Linked DNA regions of Callithrix jacchus. The protein of the gene in region 2 binds, or shares a complex with, the protein of the main gene of each other region. Links are inferred from orthologs where the notes say so. Each region holds a gene or a part of one and is shown on either strand. Other genes may lie near its edges.

Evidence for each region.
Region 1: LSM3 (region 2) and SNRNP40 share a complex: the UniProt entries of both Homo sapiens proteins name them as parts of the U4/U6-U5 tri-snRNP complex. The link is inferred for Callithrix jacchus from reciprocal best matches to the Homo sapiens genes LSM3 and SNRNP40.
Region 3: LSM3 (region 2) and LSM6 share a complex: the UniProt entries of both Homo sapiens proteins name them as parts of the precatalytic spliceosome. The link is inferred for Callithrix jacchus from reciprocal best matches to the Homo sapiens genes LSM3 and LSM6.

What each region holds. Positions count from the first base shown.
Region 1 is NC_133508.1:67,930,879-67,935,107, reverse strand, and holds the start of SNRNP40 (U5 small nuclear ribonucleoprotein 40 kDa protein), read left to right. Parts: upstream 1-1,427; 5' UTR 1,428-1,457; coding exon 1,458-1,601; intron 1,602-4,229. Other genes in the region: ZCCHC17 (zinc finger CCHC domain-containing protein 17), read right to left, coding at 996-1,127. UniProt on the Homo sapiens protein: Required for pre-mRNA splicing as component of the activated spliceosome. Component of the U5 small nuclear ribonucleoprotein (snRNP) complex and the U4/U6-U5 tri-snRNP complex, building blocks of the spliceosome.
Region 2 is NC_133516.1:71,157,603-71,161,758, forward strand, and holds the start of LSM3 (U6 snRNA-associated Sm-like protein LSm3), read left to right. Parts: upstream 1-1,346; 5' UTR 1,347-1,387; coding exon 1,388-1,408; intron 1,409-4,156. Other genes in the region: XPC (DNA repair protein complementing XP-C cells), read right to left, coding at 994-1,096. UniProt on the Homo sapiens protein: Plays a role in pre-mRNA splicing as component of the U4/U6-U5 tri-snRNP complex that is involved in spliceosome assembly, and as component of the precatalytic spliceosome (spliceosome B complex).
Region 3 is NC_133504.1:50,820,499-50,824,644, reverse strand, and holds the start of LSM6 (U6 snRNA-associated Sm-like protein LSm6), read left to right. Parts: upstream 1-1,344; 5' UTR 1,345-1,977; intron 1,978-4,146. UniProt on the Homo sapiens protein: Plays a role in pre-mRNA splicing as component of the U4/U6-U5 tri-snRNP complex that is involved in spliceosome assembly, and as component of the precatalytic spliceosome (spliceosome B complex).

The DNA.
Region 1 (4,229 bases), on a different chromosome or scaffold from region 2:
TCACCAAGTCCCACCCGTTTTACCTCCTATATACCTCTGGAATCTGTCCAGTTCTCTGCAGTTCCACCCAGGTCTCAGTCCTCACTGACATCTCTAACAAGAATTACTACATATCCTAAGTGGTCTATATACAGCCACAAGGGCTTCCTCAACCCCAATCTGTTCACACCACTGAGCCCGAGGAATCAAGCCCCCTCCTCCACCACACCCCACTGGGGGAAGACGGCTCAGTGGTATCTCATCCGTTTTAAAATAAAAGCTACAAATTTCTGCAAGGTCTGACCGCTATCACATAGTTTCATCTTGTGCCATACTCCCCTTCATTCTCTTTGTACCGGCCACACTGGTTCTTTGTGCTTTAGGCCGTTTTCCTCCCGAGTGCCTCAGGGCTTGGGAGGAAAATGAACAAGTAGTTCTCTATGGAAGGTTCTGCCTTAGCCTCTTCACCTAATTAATTCCAATTCTTCCTGCAGCTACCAGCGCAGGCATCTTTTCCTCTGAAAAACCTGCATCAGGCAGCACTAGAGGCACTTCCATGTATTAGTGAGGTCACTGTTTAACGTTTTCCCCACCAGACTTAAACGCCTTGAGAGTAGGGACCGTGCCTGGTTCACAACGTATCCCCAACGCGCTGCACAATAAATATCAGCTGGACGATTGAGGAAATGACCACGTTCACGGGCATGAGTCAAATTTCTCAACAAGACTGTGTCTGGAGAAGGAGCCGGACATTTCCTTCATCACGGTCTCTCTCAGCGGGGCATAGAGTAGGCCCTAACCAAAAACTGCAAAATCAGTGGCAGAAACAAGTCAGCCTCCTCGGCCAAATAGGGCACCGGTGGAGGCTGGACACAGGCCCTTCTCCCTGGGAATGCCCGGCACAGGACTGGCCACGATGGGCGCTCTTGAAAAAGGGAGCCGCGGGGGCTCGGTCCTGCCGCCGAGACCCCAAGGCTCCGCTCCTGCCCGGAAAGGGAGCCCAGGCTACTACTTACCAGAGCTGGGGACTCGGGGCCCGCCTCCCACCCCTCGCTATCAGCACCCTCAGCTGAGAAGGGCAGGTTCAGACTGCACAACAGAGGCGTTGCCTCCAGACTCAGACAGCCACCCACCCCGCTCTTCCTCATACGTACTAGGCGTCAGCTCCTGGTCCCCAAATCGCGGCGTTGAAGTAAACGCCTAACCCAGTCAACCTGCGTGTTTCCACCCACAACACCCAGCGCGCCTAGGAAGGTCGCCAGCTCCGTTCACCAATCCTGGAATCGCGCTCTCATGACGTCAGAAAGATAGGCCCAGTAACAAGAGACTATCTGGAGGGCGGTGCAAATGGGAATATTGAAAGCCGATTGGTTCTTCAAGCTGGAAGTTGTGGAGGAAGGACTAAGTTGAAACCAATTGCGTGGCGCCTGAGGGCTGTAGCGCGTTCGGTGGCGGCGCTGAAGAGACCGGTTTCCGCCATGATAGAACAGCAGAAGCGTAAGGGCCCGGAGTTGTCGCTGGTCCCAGTCAAGCGGCAGCGCCATGAGTTGCTGTTGGGAGCGACGGGGTCGGGCCCCGGAGCCGGGCAGCAGCAGACGACACCGGGAGCTTTGCTGCAAGCGGTAAGTGAAGAAGCAGGCGGCCTTTGGCCCTCAGCTCATCTTCCTCTCCCTTCAAAGCGCTGTGTCTGGTGGCCCTGCACCGACCCTTTCCCGCATTGCGGGGGCAGAACGAGAGTTTCCCCCTAAAGTTAAAGCACATAAACACTAAGCGCCCCATAGTTTGCGGATACTCCGTACATGTTCCCCTGTTTGGCGCTCGTTTTCAGCCTCTCGACTGCCCTGTGAGGTGGCTTTAGAAGTAGAGTTGAATTAGAACCTTGGGCTCAAAACCCGGGCCCGGGTTTGAGCATCCTAACTCACATGGATCTAGCTAGCGTAGAACAAACGTTCAAAAAAGTTTGTAGAATGAACGAGGGAGGGAGGAAAGAAGGGAAATGATTGGGGTTGGTTGCTTTTCCCTTTATTTTTCTGCGCTAGTATTATTAACAATTAAATAGCAGCTAACATTCTTGGACCCTTGTACTAAAGTGTTTCCCATGTGAAATATCTATTAATCTTGGTAGCAGCCTGTTAGGAAGGTTATTAACCCATTTTGCAGATGGAAAAACAAACTTACCAAGTACATGATAGAAACAGATTTTGAACTGAGAAACCATGCTCCTAACTATTTTATAAGATAGAAATCGTGATCACACTTCCAGTGTCCTGTTTAGGCTCACATGAGGAAATATGAGTGTCTTCTTTCTCGTGTTCTCAACAAATCCTGCTGGCACCGTCCTCAAAATAAATCTAGAATTGCTACTTCTCCCATCTCCATCACTGCCTCATGGCCTAAGCCATTGTTACCTCAACTGGCATTTTTGTAGTAGGGTCCTAACTGGTCTACTTTCTGCCTTTGGACCGGCACCTGTTACCAAGCCAATAACCAGATGAATCCTTCTAAGTATCGGATCACGTTATCCTCTGCAGAAAACTTCCTGGTGGCTTTCTACTTCACCCAGAGTAAAAACCAAAATTCTTGTAATCATTTGCCCTCTTTCCCTTTACCTCTCTGACCAGTTTTTCATTGCCCACCTGGCTCCAGTTACACTCTCTTCCAAGCCTCGCCTCAGTCCTTTGCATTTGCTGCTCCCTCTGCGGGGATAGCTCTTCTTCCCAAATGTTTACAAGGGAAGAAGAGCAATCTCCTTCTACTAAGCTCCTTCGAATATTTGCCCAAATATAACTTTTTCAGTAAGGGTTTTCCTGACCACCCTATTGTAAATTGCAATACCCTGTACTCTGGAACCCACATTGCTACTTTCTTTCTTTCTCTCTTTATTTTATTTTATTTTTTTTAGAATCTCCATTTGATGCCCACTTGCTTAGTGCAACCTCCGCCTCCAGGGCTCAAGTGATTCTCCTGCCTCAGCATCCTGAGTAGGTGGGACCACAGACACTACTAATTTTTTTTTTTTTTTTTTTGGTAGAGACAGGATTTCACGCAATCCACACACCTTGGCCTCCCAAAGTGCTGGGATTACAGGCATGAGCCAACATGCCCATCCTTTCTTTCTTTCTTTTTTTTTTTTTTTTCTTTTTTTGAGACAGAGTGTCACTCTGTCACCCAGGCTGGAGTGCAGCGACATGATCTTAGCTCACTGCAACCTGCACCTCCTGGTTTCAAGCAATATTTGACTCAGCTTCCCGAGTAGATGGGATTACAGGCGCCCACCACTACACCTGGCTAATATTTTGTATTTTAGTAGAGATGGGGTTTTACCATCTTGGCCAGGCTGGTCTTGAACTCCTGACCTCATGATCCACCCATCTCAGCCCCATAAAGTGCTAGGATTGCAGGCATGAGTCACCATGCCCGGCCCATCCTTTTTATTTTCTATAGCACATGACAGCAAGTACATATTTTGCTTGTTTTCTGTCATCCTCCCTCCTACTCTTCCCCTTTCCTACTGGAAAAGGATATTTTCAATATACCCCTTTCCTTTGTTTGTTGCTGTTTGCCCAGTGCCTAGAACATAACCTTTGTTGTTGTTGTTGCTTTTTTTATTTGAGGTGGAGTTTCGCTCTTGTTGCCCAAGCCAGAGTGGAACGGCGCAATCTTGGCTCACTGCAACCTCTCCCTCCCAGGTTCAATCGATTCTCCTGCCTCAGCCTCCCAAGTGGCTGGGATCAGAGGTCCCTGCCACCACACCTGACTAATTTTTGTATTTTTAATAGAGATGGGTTTTCACCGTGTTGGTCAGGCTGGTCTCGCACTCCTGACCACAGGTGATCCACCCAGCTAACTTTTATATTTTTAGTAGAGTCGGGGTTTCACCATGTTGTTCAGGTTGGTCACAAACTCCTGACCTCGGGTGATCTGCCCGCCTCAGCCTCCCAAAGTTCTGGGATTACAGGTATGAGCCATCATGCCCGGCCTGCACATAGCATTTTGTAAAAATAAGAATATGGCTGGGCGTGGTGACTCACGCCTGTAATCCCAACACTTTGGGAGGCCGAGGCAGGCGGATCACCTGAGGTCAGGAGTTCGAGACCAGCCTGACCAACATGGTGAAACCCCAGCTTTACTAAAAATACAAAAATTATCTGAGTGTGGTGGCAGGCACCTGTAATTCCAGCTACTCGGGAGGCTGAGACAGGAGAATTGCTCGTAGCCATTAGGTGGAAGTTGCAATGAGCCGAGATCAT
Region 2 (4,156 bases):
AAGGAAAAGACTCAAGAAATAACTTGGCATATTTGAGGAAGAGAAAGGAGGCCAATAAGGTGGGTATCTGGCAAGGAAACAAGTGGTAGGAGAAACAGGAGAGGTAGCAAGAGCCAAAACATGTAGCATCTTGCAGGCCAGGTTAAGCCAACTGGATTTTAAGCTAAGAGCAATGGGAAGCCAAGGAGAGTTTAAAATAGGAACACGGCATGATTAAAAAAAGAAAAAAAAGATTATTTGGGTTGCTGGATGGAGAACTGGGAGGCCAATAAAGAGGAAACTGCAGTCACTCAACTGAAAGGTGATGGTGGCTTGGACAGGGGCCATGGCCATGGAAATGAAGTGGACAAATTTAAGATACAGTCCGAGGCTGAACTGACTGGATTTGCTGATGGACTGATGTGTGCACATAAGAAAAAGGCAGGCTTTGCTTTATAACAAGTACTGAGACTGGAAAAACGGAGGAAAGGATAGATTTAAAGGGGAAAACCATGAGCTCCGCTTTGCCTGTGACAAACATAAGAAGCCTATCCGATATTCACGTGGGGAAGTCAGGTGGGATCCCACTGTGGAACTCCGGGTGAGACTCCGCTTAAGTGACCATTCGGGAGTCACCACACTGCATCACTCTACGTCCTGGTCCGTCTGTCTGCCTTCCTGGGACCCAAATAACTGCCTTCTCCACTTTCAGCCCTGAGCATCTGCGCTGTATCCTCTGGGCAACCCGGAGCGGAAAAACGCTACGCATGAGCTTGGGTCGGGCGAGGCTCCCGAGGAATCGCTCTGCGTGCGGAGGACAAAGGGACAGGGACAGAGCGGAGGGCCGGACGCGGCCTGCCGAGCTGCTCCCGCGGCCGCCGTCACGTCCCCGCGGCGTGGAAGACGCGCAGTAAACTGCATCCTGTCTCCACGTCTGGCCTCCCACCCCAGCCTCCCGGCCTCCTCCGCCCTGCTGCGGCGTCTCCCGCTAAGCCCGCTGGGCCTCGCTCTCACCCTCCTCCTCCTCCTCACGCCGGGCCTTGCTCTTGCCCTTGGACTTCTGGCTGCGCGGTTGGCGTCCCCGCGGCTCCCCGCCGGCCGCGCGCTTCCGAGCCATGTTGTTCTTCGGGGCAAAATCCACTTCGTGAGTGACGCACCTGGCCGCTGTGCACCAGAGCGCGGGCTCCGCCCACAGGCGGGCGCGTCTAGCCCTGTCCCTTAGTTGGAGGCCTAGCCACGCCCCCGAAGGAAGCTCCGGCGATACCCGTGGCCACCAAAAACCACAGGAAGCAGGAAGGAGAAAAACAGATTTCTCTCTACTTCCGGTGTATTATATCCTCCTGTTTCCGGAGATCCGCGTTGCTCTTGTGTTCTCGCGAGAAGCGGGAAAGAGCGCAGGGTTTGAAACATGGCGGACGACGTAGACCAGGTGAGTGTACTTTAAGGGGGTCGCTTCGAGCAGCTTCGCGTACTAGGGCTGGTTTTCCCAAACTTAGGAAAAATGGCCAGTCGTGTCTCCTCCTTCCAGGTCACCATGGTCCAATCCGCCCCGTCCTTTCCGTAACCGCCCCCTGCTCCGAATTTTGCTGCAGGCCCTGAGATCTTTTCCGGTTAGAAGCCCACCTGACTACTATTCATCACACTCTTCAATTCATTTTTTTAAATCTGTAAATTATTATCCTTGCCTGCCTCACGGAGCTGTTAGGATTCCAATAGAAAGCCTGATGATGAAGTTAGAAGTTCATATCATTACTGAGCGCAACCATTATTTATTCATTTAGCATATTTAGTGAAATTCAGCTTTGTATGGTTAGACACTATTCTAAGGGCCAGGGACACTGACATCGACATAGAAGTGATCCCTGCCATTACTTGGAGCTTATATTCGTGAGGAGAACAGATAAAAGTAAATATAAATATGTAGGAGACATAGGAACTGTGATGTGATGTGAAGGAAACAAGGAACTAGTTTGCAGAATAACAGATGGCCCTAGAAGCTTTTTCACCTTGTCTTTCTCTTCCTCAAATATCTTTGGAGATCAAGCCACAAATTCTTAAGCTTTCTACTGAAATCTCACCTCCTCAGAGAGGACTTCTCCTGCGCCAGTAGCACACGCTTTACTCTTCTTACCCTGCTTCATTTTTCTTCAGAGCGCATTATTATTTCGTATTAAATATATGCATCTGTTTTTAATGTATAACCCTTCCCACTAGAATTTAAGTGCCATAAGAGCAGGTTTTTTGTTTTGTTCTTTCTTCTGTCCTTAGGGTTTAGAACAGTGCTGGAAACACTCAACAAATATTTACTTAATGAGGCCTCTTTGAAAAGTCAATATTTAAAGCTACAGTGGGCATCGTAGACAGAGGCTTAGGTAGCAGTAGGGTTCTGTCGTGTGCATATTTTGACAGTATTTAATTATTTATTTGTATGCCTCTCCACATTACAATGAGCTCCTTGAGAGTGGAGATTGTGACTTCTATATCGTTATAATCTAACAGTTGGTTATCTGATCCTTTAACAAACACCTGTTGAACTAGGGAAGTAGGGATCAGTCGAGTCAGGGTTTTGTTTTTTCTCTCATCTGACCTTTTGAAGCTTTAGAGCCTGTTGCATTCAGTCACCTTCCTCCACTGGCCTCATGTACTTAATGAAGATCTACTTGAATAGTCTTTCTCTTAATGGCTGCAACCATTCGACCCCAAGTCATCCTAGCCCTGACCTCTAAAACCGACGTTTCCAGCAGTTCTTTAATAATACTAATAGGAACCATTTCTTTTCTTTTTCCTTTTTTTTTTTTTTGGACAGAATCTCACTCTGTCATCCAGGCTGGAGTGCAGTGGCACAATAGATCTCAGCTCACAGCAACTTCCACCTCCTCAAGCGATTCTCCTATCTCAGCCTCCCGAGTAGTTGGGACTACAGGCGCGTGCCACCATGCCTGGCTAATTTTTCTGGTTTTTTTTTTTTTTTTTTTTTTTTTTTGAGACGGAGTTTCGCTCTTGTTACCCAGGCTGGAGTGCAATGGCGCGATCTCAGCTCACCGCAACCTCCGCCTCCTGGGATCAGGCAATTCTCCTGCCTCAGCCTCCCGAGTAGCTGGGAATACAGGCACGCGCCACCATGCCTGTAAGTTTTTGTATTTTTAGTAGAGACGGGGTTTCACCATGTTGACCAGAATGGTCTCAATCTCTTGACCTCGTGATCCACCCGCCTCGGCCTCCCAAAGTGCTGGGATTACAGGCGTGAGCCACCGCTCCCGGCCAATTTTTCTGTTTTTAGTAGAGATGGGGTTTCGCCATGTTGGCCAGGCTGGTCTCAACTCCTGACCTCAGGTGATCCGCCTGTCTCAGCCTCCCAAAGTACTGGGATTCAGGCGTGAGCCACCATGCCCAGCCAGTAGGAACCGTTTATTACTATTTTCTGTTTACCTGGCACTGTTGTAAATACATTAACTACTTTAAACTTCTCAAGAACCCAGAAGGAAGGTTGTGGCCTCCTCAATTACAAATGAAGAATCAGAATTACAGATGGCATGATTTTTAATCTTAGTTCATTAGAGTCAGGTCACAGCCAGGAGTTGAACCCAGACTGCCTGACTCCAAAACCAGTGCTTTCTTTTTTCAAGACAGAGTCTCACTCTGTTGCCAAAGCTGGAGTGCAGTAGCACGATCTTGGCTCACTGCAACCTCCGACTCCTAGGCTCAAGCCATCCTCCCCCCTCAGCCTCTGAATAGCTGGGACCACAGGCATGTGCCACTGTGCCTGGCTAAGCCAGTGCTTTCAACCAGCGTTTTATACTGTCTACTAAATATATTCATCTTACTGGCCAGTTGGCAGCCTAAACTCAACCTGTGCTAAATTCATAATCTTCCCATTAACCTACACCTCTACTTAGCATTCTGACTAGTGTATGGTAGACATTGAGTGAGTGTTTTTCCAACGATTACATAATATTTGAGATAAAGCTAAAGTCCCTGAGAGCCCATACCCTGAAATTGGGTCAGGCAGTTTGATTTTGAGGGAACAAAGAATAGTCATGATTATTTTGCTGTGTAACTCCTTTTTGTGTATGTGTGTTTTAACCTACATTTATGTAGCACATATTATATGAAAGGCACTGTTCTAAGCCGTCATAGATATCACTTAAGCCTCACAACAACAGTATTAGGTAGACAC
Region 3 (4,146 bases), on a different chromosome or scaffold from region 2:
CTTTGGAGAAGATTGCAGCTGCTCCTCAGATGAACGAGGCCTTTAAACTCCTCATGGCTCCCTACCCACCACACCAGTGTTAATCGCTCCATCAGGGGTCTGTAGGAAAGGGAAAGAAATTTGAATCAAAAACTTACTGTTTTTTGAATAATTGAAACAACCAGTAGGGAGTGTGCAATTTGATGTCTTTTGCAAAGAATGTTTTTAGGGACAGGGCTTTTTATCCTATCATGTTTGTTCTTTGCAACTAATTATTTAATTTTAATGGCACTTTTCTTAAAATTTTTATTTACATTATATTTTATATTGCAAGAACTTCAAATACAGCCCTCTTAATAAGTCTGTAACGGTTTTGTCTTTACCCAAACTGAGCTTTTGTAGAAGGATATAAGGAAGTCTCTATTCTTTACCAAATCACATCCAGTTGCTTTCTGTCCCTGATACCAAGGGTTCATTTCTTCTGCCTTTAGCCAAAAGAGGGATACAAGGGAGAAACTCTTTATCTTAGAAAAACATTCTGCATCTTAGATTTTATAACACTTAATGGAGTTAAGGATCTGTGTTGGAAGATCTTATCACTTTGTGTATAGTGTTACAAATCATAAATAAAATAAAGTATAAGTTTTCAGCTGATGAAAGTATGTGACAGGGAAAAAGGAACCAAGTCCTGGTGTGACTGTTCTCTTCTTTTTCCTCTCCAATCCTATTAATAGCAAGAGTATTGAGAATTCATGCAAAATTCCAAACCAAGTTCCCACAGGTAGCACTTAGCTAATGTCTGCACACCATTTTCAATTGGAACTAGTTTATAATGTAACACAATTAACGTCATTATAATTCGGAGTTACTTGAGTGGTTTTAATTATTTTCGTATCAATTAACATTGCCATGGAAACAGTCTCTTGCTAAAATGGCTTAAGTCTTCACACATTTAATCAATATCCAGAGGCAGATTTAAAGACTTGAGGTGTTTGTTTTATTTATTTGTTTGCTTTAAACTATTCAAGGACGTTTCTGGGTACACACGGCAGTTACTTAAAACTGTAAATTCCAGTTTTCTATGACTTCAAGTTATTTTTTACACTGCAAATAAATCCTGCCCAAAAGATCACTTCTAGCTTTCTGGATTTTTGTTTTTGTTTTGTATTGAATTGTATTTGTGTTGTATCCGGATTTCTGTTAGAGGAATTCCTTTGCACCAATTTCGCCACTGGACAAACCAACCAGGATTCTTGGATTTGAGCGCTTTGGCGCGGACCGGCCTTTTCGGCCCCAGCGGGCTGCCGTAGCAGAGAAGAACACTGATTGGCTGAGGCAGAAAAGTACCGCTGCCTCGCCGGTTTCGGTTTCGATTCGATGAAGTCCGCGGAGCCCGGGCTCTTGGGGCACCTGTAGTGAGGATTTTGGATCCCGCCGACGAGGTGAGCCGCGTGGCTGCGCGAGCCGAGCAGCCTCGGAAACGGCCTGCGGGGAGCGGGCTGGGGCTCCGGGGAGGGACTGCTGGGTGGTGGGTCCCCGCGAAATGCCGCTTCCAAGCTCTGTGTGCACGTAATGGCCGGGAGTGATCTGTTGGTGGGCGCCTGGAACCGCCGTCAGCGAGGCGTCTACACTGCGCCGAGAGGAGCGGCACCGTCCCGGCTGGCGTCGATTTGGCGTTCGAGACTGCACGAAGTTGTTCGGAGGTTATCGAAATTCCCCAAGGGAACCCCAGCGCTAATCCCAGGATTCGGCGGGAAAGCGGATCCCGAATCTAGGCCTAGGCTTTGCCTGGATTCTTCCAGGCTTCAGAGAATTGCGAAGCCTACCCTACATCGGAGTGGCTGCGCCTAACCACAGGAATTAAGGACTGGACTAACCTGAATTACCGAGTTGTCTAGTCGGGGAACCCCTTGTATGGTCTTAAGTCCTATCGCCAGAGGTTTTCTATGTGTCCGCGTTTGTGCCCCGGCGCGTGAATAGCGGGCATTTTTGTTTAAGGTGTGTAGGATTAGGATGATTGGAATTACCCCACCCTACTGCTCTTAGTAATACGTGACTGTTGTAGAAAAATTGCAAACATAGAAGACTTTAGTGAAGAAAATAATATTCGCTGAACCCTTTCACCTGCCATCTTTTTCTCCTGTATGTACCAGCGTCTACTTGGACTAGGACTGTTCATGTTTAATTACTTAACAGTGTAGTTTTCCAGTTCCATTTAAAAACTCTTCCTAAATATTATTCTAATTTTGTATCTTCTTTTGAGTGGCTGGCCCATCATTGTGGATCCCAGTGTAGGTCCCATAAATTATTCAGTCATTTCCCGACTGTGGGACATTTGGTTGTTTTTGAATTTTTGCATCATCTTAGCATCCCAGATCATATTTTGATAAACATTTCCCCCCCATCCTGTAGATTATTTCCTTGGACTAGATTCTCAGAAGTGAAATTATCAGATAGATGCTGTCATCCATAAGGTCTTTAGGCTTTCATGCACATTGCTGCAGTGTTTTCCAAAAAAGTTTTAGAGGTGGTTGGCAGTTTTACTTGCTTGAATATTGTGCAGAAATCTTGAGAGGCTTATGTCTGTAGTGTGTATCACTGGAGTTAACTGCAGTAGACTGCCTGAATGTTAGAGCAGGAAGAGACCTAAGTGGTCATCTAGCAAAGCCCCCTTATTTTGCAGATGAGGAACCTGGGGCCATGAGAGGTGAGATGAGTTATCCAAGTCACACAGCCAATTAAGTAGCAGAGCTGGGATTAGAACTGAGGTTTCCTGCCTCCCAAGTGAGTACTCTGTGCTGCATCAGGCAGCCTCTCACTGAACTGTGGCATAGTAGATATTAGAATTTAAAAATATGTTTACATCACTTGGATTATTCTCTTTTTTAAAAGTGTACTAACAGATTTTAATCATCAGAGGGATCTTTAGTACTGAAAAATTGTAAAGTGATCATTTTCATGGCCAAGGCTAGAAATCCGTTATTTAGAATGGCAACCCCTTCAAGGCTTTGACAGTTGTTTTCAGATTCTCTATATGTTAGAATAAAAAAAAAATCCCTGATAAATTATAATCTACACTCCATCATTTGGTTAGATGTAGGTGTTGGTTCTCATTTGCTATATTTGGGAGATTTCTTTAAAACTCCTCACTTTAAGGCCAAAGAACAATGTTGCTGGTTTTTAAATTTTTTTTATTTTAGGGCTTATAGCAGAGATTCTCAACTTCCATGGACTTTTTGGCCTGGACGCATTTGTTGTGGAGGGCCGTCCTGTGCATTGTAAAATGTTTAGCAGCATCCCTGGTCTGTACTCACTAGTATAGTAGTAGCACCACCTTCCTCAGTCATGAGAGTTCATGGTGTCCCCAGATATTTCCAGCTGTCCCTGAGCATGGTGGGGGAGGACAGGGGGGATTGCCCCTAGTTGAGAACCATTTGCTTATAGAAATTATCTGGAGAACTTTATAATGTAATGTATAGTGCCTTTGCCTCAGTAGATTCAGGAATTTGCATTTTAACAAGCATCTCTAGATTTGGATACAGCTGGTTCTTGAATGACAGAAACAGTTGTTTTCTCCGTCTTTGGTGCTCATTATAGAGATTACTTGATTAGTATTTGTTGAAGTACACACTTGATATTACTAGTCACTGTACCCATAGTTTGGGCTGGTGGGGGCTGGACAGGAATTTTGCTTGACACTGGCTTTGAATGTCACTTCCACAGACTTGGACAGTATGCTTAGATACCAGGGTTACCAAGTGAGTGAGATATTTTCCCTGTCCCCAAGAAGCTTAAAATTCACTGTGGGAGATCAGTCAGCAAATGGAAACATTACAAAACGGCCTGATAAGGGCCACGACTGAGAGTGGAAAGAGGTGCTTTCAGTGGACTAACTTCGCCTTTGGAAGAGAGGGAGAGAAGAGGCCCCAGCTGCTCGGGAAGGAGGGATTGTCTTCAAAAGACAGCCCGGCTCTCCACTGTGTCAGAGGGAGGAATTTAGAGAGCTGTCCTCGGTGTCTGATTGCCTCGTCAGACACTGCTATCTTAGTATCACGCTGCAATTACTTGGGTTCTAATGTTGTTTCCTTGCAATTTTTGCTTTTCAATTTTTTCCACGCTAAACTGTTAAGTACTCTAGAGTAGGTAAAAACTTACAGGTAAACATTG